Linked DNA regions of Saccharomyces cerevisiae S288C. The gene in region 1 interacts genetically with each later gene. Each region holds a gene or a part of one and is shown in the gene's direction. Other genes may lie near its edges.

Region 1 (4,056 bases):
AAGGGAAAACACTTGTCAGTGCAAAAGAAAATAAAAAGAGACAAACAATCATAAACATGGTCAAAGTCGCAATTCTTGGCGCTTCTGGTGGCGTGGGACAACCGCTATCATTACTGCTAAAATTAAGCCCTTACGTTTCCGAGCTGGCGTTGTACGATATCCGAGCTGCGGAAGGCATTGGTAAGGATTTATCTCACATCAACACCAACTCAAGTTGTGTCGGTTATGATAAGGATAGTATTGAGAACACCTTGTCAAATGCTCAGGTGGTGCTAATACCGGCTGGTGTTCCCAGAAAGCCCGGTTTAACTAGAGATGATTTGTTCAAGATGAACGCCGGTATTGTCAAAAGCCTGGTAACCGCTGTTGGAAAGTTCGCACCAAATGCGAGGATTTTAGTCATTTCAAACCCTGTAAACAGTTTGGTCCCTATTGCTGTGGAAACTTTGAAGAAAATGGGTAAGTTCAAACCTGGAAACGTTATGGGTGTGACGAACCTTGACCTGGTACGTGCAGAAACCTTTTTGGTAGATTATTTGATGCTAAAAAACCCCAAAATTGGACAAGAACAAGACAAAACTACAATGCACAGAAAGGTCACTGTTATTGGGGGTCATTCAGGGGAAACCATTATCCCAATAATCACCGACAAATCGCTGGTATTTCAACTTGATAAGCAGTACGAGCACTTCATTCATAGGGTCCAGTTCGGAGGTGATGAAATTGTCAAAGCTAAACAGGGCGCCGGTTCCGCCACGTTGTCCATGGCGTTCGCGGGGGCCAAGTTTGCTGAAGAAGTTTTGAGGAGCTTCCATAATGAGAAACCAGAAACGGAGTCACTTTCCGCATTCGTTTATTTACCAGGCTTAAAAAACGGTAAGAAAGCGCAGCAATTAGTTGGCGACAACTCTATTGAGTATTTTTCCTTGCCAATTGTTTTGAGAAATGGTAGCGTAGTATCCATCGATACCAGTGTTCTGGAAAAACTGTCTCCGAGAGAGGAACAACTCGTTAATACTGCGGTCAAAGAGCTACGCAAGAATATTGAAAAAGGCAAGAGTTTCATCCTAGACTCTTCCAAGCTATGAGCTACTTCAATTTTTATATTTTTCTTAACTCTATACTCCTTTGTATCTTGACTCATATCGTTGTATAATGTTTCGCTTACTATGATATTTTATACTCAAGTAAATTGAAGGAAAGGAAACCATATCCTCCTAGTGGCTGCGCTGCACTACGCCGCTATGACCAATTCCGCTATGACCAGTTTACCTTTACCACACTCACTCCACGATGTTTTAAGCGTTCCTTGTCAAATATGCACCATCTCGTGATTTTTCAAAGATTGGTAAAGGAACATGAAAAAAAAAAAGCGGGGGGGTGGGGAAAATAGAGTTGATTCTGCAAAAGAGAAAGACAAAGGCCGCCCCTGGGAGCAAAGTCGTCCGATGAGGAACTAACCAGGGGCAGCATTATCCGTTAGGATCTACCGGAGAGCTGTTCCAGCGGCGGATCTGAGAAAGATTGGTTCTCCTTTTGTCGCTATATCTTGCAACTTAAATAAGCATTCTCTAAAAAATACTGGTGCTATAAGAACCCTGCTGCATACAAGTATTTCCGTTTCTACCATACTGCGGGGAAGGGACTTGAAAATAATCTCAAGATTGAAGAGGTGAAAATTGTAAAATAGTCTACTATGACCGATGTGTTGAGAAGCCTAGTGCGAAAGATTTCCTTCAATAACTCAGATAACCTTCAGCTAAAACACAAGACATCTATACAGAGTAATACTGCCCTAGAAAAGAAGAAGAGAAAGCCTGATACAATCAAAAAGGTAAGCGACGTTCAAGTTCACCATACTGTACCTAATTTCAATAACAGTTCAGAGTACATCAACGACATAGAGAATCTTATAATATCTAAACTGATAGACGGGGGAAAGGAGGGTATTGCAGTTGATCACATTGAACACGCCAATATCTCGGACAGTAAAACAGATGGAAAAGTTGCCAATAAGCACGAAAATATTAGTAGCAAGCTTAGTAAAGAGAAGGTTGAGAAAATGATTAATTTTGATTATAGGTATATTAAAACCAAGGAAAGGACTAGTATGTATAATTATTTTTTATTTTTTTTTTTTATGTTCTTGCCAGTGGAGGAATGTTTCTTTCGTCACAACCGGAGTGAATAGTGGAACTACTGTCAGTTCATAGTATCGCGACACAAAAAAAAATAATTAAAAGAAAAAAAAAGAGAGTGTAAAATAAAGATTTATGAAATTGCATCCCTAATCTTAGAAACTTGCTTACGAAATATCAGGAAGCATAGCGGAACATTTTTCCATATTACATCAACTACCATTTTTTATGGGAATCACATTATATACTAACATAGGTTTAGTTCATAAACGGGTTTATAAACATGACCGCAAAACTGATGTCGACCGAAAAAATCATGGAGGAACTATCGACATCAGTTATCCTACGACAGAAGTGGTTGGCCATGGTTCATTTGGTGTTGTAGTCACGACTGTAATAATTGAGACCAATCAAAAAGTTGCCATAAAGAAAGTACTACAAGATAGAAGATATAAAAATAGGGAGCTCGAAACTATGAAGATGTTGTGCCATCCAAATACTGTGGGTCTACAGTACTACTTTTACGAAAAGGACGAAGAAGATGAAGTATACCTCAATCTGGTTTTGGACTACATGCCTCAGTCGTTATACCAAAGGCTTCGTCATTTTGTTAATTTGAAAATGCAGATGCCGCGTGTTGAAATTAAATTCTATGCATACCAACTATTCAAAGCTTTAAACTATTTGCATAACGTTCCTCGAATCTGTCACAGAGATATAAAACCGCAAAACCTACTGGTGGATCCGACAACTTTTTCTTTCAAGATTTGCGATTTTGGCAGTGCCAAATGCTTGAAACCGGATCAGCCTAATGTGTCTTACATCTGTTCAAGGTACTATAGGGCTCCCGAACTCATGTTTGGTGCCACTAATTACTCAAACCAGGTCGACGTGTGGTCAAGCGCTTGTGTCATTGCTGAGTTGCTTTTGGGCAAGCCCTTGTTCTCTGGTGAAAGCGGTATAGATCAGTTGGTGGAAATTATTAAGATAATGGGCATACCCACAAAGGATGAAATTTCAGGAATGAACCCAAATTATGAAGACCATGTTTTCCCCAATATCAAGCCCATTACTTTGGCTGAAATATTCAAAGCCGAAGATCCCGATACTCTTGACTTGTTAACAAAAACTCTGAAGTATCACCCTTGCGAAAGATTGGTACCTCTACAATGTCTATTATCAAGCTATTTTGACGAAACCAAACGTTGTGATACCGACACTTACGTAAAAGCACAAAACCTGCGTATATTTGACTTCGACGTGGAAACTGAGTTGGGCCATGTTCCACTTGTGGAACGGCCCGCCATTGAAGAACGGTTGAAACATTTTGTTTCTGCACCTTCATCGTCTTTGTGATATATCTCATCCTTCAAATTTCTTAGTCTATTGTATCATTACTATTACATAATATGCATTTGTCTTCTGCACACAGATACACAGCGTATGCAGTTAACCTAACGTATAACGACCGTCCTCTTTCCTTCATTTAATTTCACTTGCTGCTTTTCTAGGCAGCGGTCGCCCAAATTTTCACCGGCCACAAGCGTATGACTGCATATGCAGAACCTTGGCAACTGTAAGAACTCCTATGTTTCTTTATTGCAAACAGTTGCTAAAAGCACTCACATAGAAGAAAAATTGATGAAACTTGCGATGCATTGAACAAATTTCCCTTTCTTCATACTTTACGGCATAGTAATCTTTGAACCTTTTGGTAAGCACCAAATTCGTAATTCATTATCGATATTGTGTAGAAAAGAGTAAAATATAATAAAACGAAAAAAAAAAGGTTTGAAAGAACATAACTACTAAAACGCACCGTCGTCATTCTGAAGATGAATTCTAGCTATACACAGAGATATGCACTGCCGAAGTGTATAGCAATATCAGATTATCTTTTCCATCGGCTCAACCAGCT
Region 2 (2,958 bases), on another chromosome or scaffold:
TGGTGACAAATTGATCGAGTTTTATAAATCTCCAGAACAGAAAAACAACATAGGGAGATACGTTCACATTATTGAGGATTCTCCAGTCTTCCCAGTTATTATGGACAGCAAAGATCGTGTTTGCTCCCTGCCACCATTAATCAATAGTGAACATTCGAAGATCTCTGTGAACACCCGTAACATTTTGATTGATATAACCGCCACCGATAAGACCAAAGCCGAGATCGTTTTGAACATATTAACTACAATGTTCTCACGTTATTGTGACGAACCATTCACGGTTGAGCCTGTAGAAATTGTCTCTGAACACAATGGCCAATCCCGTTTGGCGCCAAACTTCAACGATAGAATTATGGATGTCTCCATTAAGTACATCAACTCCTGTCTTGGCCTAGATCAATCCGCTGATGAAATTGCTCATTGTCTAAAGAAGATGTCGTTGCATGCCGTTCAATCAAAGGAAGACAAGGACATCTTGCACGTTGACATTCCGGTAACTAGACCTGATATTTTGCACGCTTGTGATATAATGGAAGATGCCGCTGTCGGTTATGGTTTCAATAATTTGCCAAAGGGTGAGAAATTATCCAATGCCAACTTCATTGCCAAACCATTACCAATCAACAAGGTTTCTGATATTTTCAGAGTTGCATCCTCTCAAGCCACGTGGGTTGAGGTTTTACCATTGACCTTATGTTCGCACGATGAAAACTTTAAATTTCTAAGACAATCCGACAATGGTGATTTAGCTGTCAAATTGGCCAACCCAAAGACTTTGGAATACCAAGTTGTTAGAACCACTTTATTGCCTGGTATCTTAAAGACAGTCAAGGAAAACAGAAAACATTCCTTGCCAATCAAAGTCTTTGAAACCGGTGACGTTGTATTTAAAGACGACAAACTAGAAAGGAAGGCGTACAATGAACGTCACTGGGCTGCCATCTACGTGGGTAAGAATTCTGGGTTTGAAATCATTCAAGGGTTATTGGGTAAAATCATGCAAACTTTTAGAACAGAGTGGATTGCAGACTACGGTGCTGCTGCTTCTGGCAGAGGTTACTGGATTGAAGAAGACGATTCTGTGAAAACCTACTTCCCAGGTAGAGGTGCCAAGGTCATGTTCAGATCCAAAGAAGGCGCTGAGCCAAAGCAAATCGGCCACTTGGGTGTCTTGCATCCTGAAGTCATGATGAATTTCGACGTTCCATTCGCTGCATCCTTTGTAGAGGTTAATGCCGAAGTCTTCCTATAATGTAATGTTCTAACAAAAATTTTTACTGATTTATAAAACTTATATAGATAGATAGACACATATATATATCTATATATAGAAACACAACTAAAGTTTACCATGTTTTATATAATATTACTACCGCTACTGAGTAAATGTTTAGCTTGTACTTAACTTTCAAAGACAGTTTTTTTGATAAACATCAGTACATTTAATAATACATCCATACATTTATGTTAATTTGTTTTTCCTTTCCACCTCAGTGCGCTTCTCTTTTGAAAAAATCCTCAACAGGCCACGCGAACAAATCTTACCGAGAATTTCCTAAAATGTTTCAAACTATCATTTAGCTGCATACAATATGTACATTATTAATTGAGATTAACAACTTTACCTGTACTTTACCGTTATCAAATTATAAACCACCAAAACAACAGATTAAGAAACAATGGCCCCAAACGTATGATACTTTAAAAGGAATCCACGCCCGATTACGAAGTCTATGTTTTACTGTTATTGTAATGATTGATTGTACGCGAATAACAAGGAAGATAGTAAAACCAAAAAAAAAAAAATAAAAATGTACGAAACGAAGAAGCGTCTATGTGTTTAGTTGCTTTTCTGTATTTTAAAAATTCACTACTTGAACATTGAACTCTATATCGACTCCCTTCTTTTTATCCGTTTCTGAATGTTTTTTTGTTTGAGATTGTCATATGTGATTGTTAATAGCAGTAGGCAACTTTGTGGTTTCGGGATTGAAAGAAAATCGTGAAATATTCGTTTTTTACTAACATTACTGTTCTGAAAATTTTTACTAATTTTCAATCTTTAATTTTTTTGATATAGACTTCCAGAAAGCAAAAGATTGCCAAGACCTTTACCGTCGATGTCTCTTCTCCAACTGAAAACGGTGTCTTCGACCCAGCTTCCTACGCTAAGTACTTGATCGACCACATCAAGGTCGAAGGTGCTGTCGGTAACTTGGGTAACGCTGTCACTGTCACTGAAGATGGTACCGTTGTTACTGTTGTTTCCACTGCCAAGTTCTCTGGTAAGTACTTGAAGTACTTGACAAAGAAGTACTTGAAGAAGAACCAATTGAGAGACTGGATCAGATTTGTCTCTACCAAGACCAACGAATACAGATTGGCCTTCTACCAAGTCACTCCAGAAGAAGACGAAGAAGAAGACGAAGAATAAATTCATTAATATTATTTTAAATAGAGCATAAGTTTTGTATAATTAAAATCTTCTAAACCTAATAAATATGTTTAATGAATGATTCAATATCAAAAAAAGAAATCCATTGGGCCCTTAGTGCATTTTTATTTTTTTTTTTTTTTTTTTTTTTTTTCTCTTTCTGAATTAGAGTACATCTCATCGCAGGGTCTCTTTTTGCACGTTTTTGATGTTGCTTATGAGACGCTTTGCCTTTTTAACTTCTTCAGTATATTTTAAATATATACCAATTTATTCACAATATCATTACTCTTCTCAGTTTCCAATTAACATGAATCCTAAAAAAGTGGCCCAATTGCCCGTTCACAATAAATCAACGCTTCCACCACAGGAAATAATCGATCTTTTTAAAATAACATTCTTAGAAGAGCTATATCCAAAAGATCAAGACAATGAAAAGTCACCGTTAACTGAACAAATACAGGCGGTAAAATCTGACCTTTATAACAGAGATTACAATGCTGCTTTCAATAACGACTCGAAAA

Evidence for each region.
Region 2: mutations in MRK1 (region 1) and RPL22A together harm fitness more than expected from each alone (negative genetic interaction), as found in Saccharomyces cerevisiae (2 studies listed by BioGRID).

What each region holds. Positions count from the first base shown.
Region 1 is NC_001136.10:312,389-316,444, reverse strand, and holds MRK1 (putative serine/threonine protein kinase MRK1), read left to right. Parts: upstream 1-1,696; coding exon 1,697-2,108; intron 2,109-2,400; coding exon 2,401-3,494; downstream 3,495-4,056. Other genes in the region: malate dehydrogenase MDH3, read left to right, coding at 57-1,088; branched-chain-2-oxoacid decarboxylase THI3, read left to right, coding at 3,974-4,056.
Region 2 is NC_001144.5:261,515-264,472, forward strand, and holds RPL22A (60S ribosomal protein eL22 RPL22A), read left to right. Parts: upstream 1-1,679; coding exon 1,680-1,691; intron 1,692-2,080; coding exon 2,081-2,434; downstream 2,435-2,958. Other genes in the region: FRS1 (phenylalanine--tRNA ligase subunit beta), read left to right, coding at 1-1,252; BMT6 (25S rRNA (uracil2843-N3)-methyltransferase), read left to right, coding at 2,643-2,958.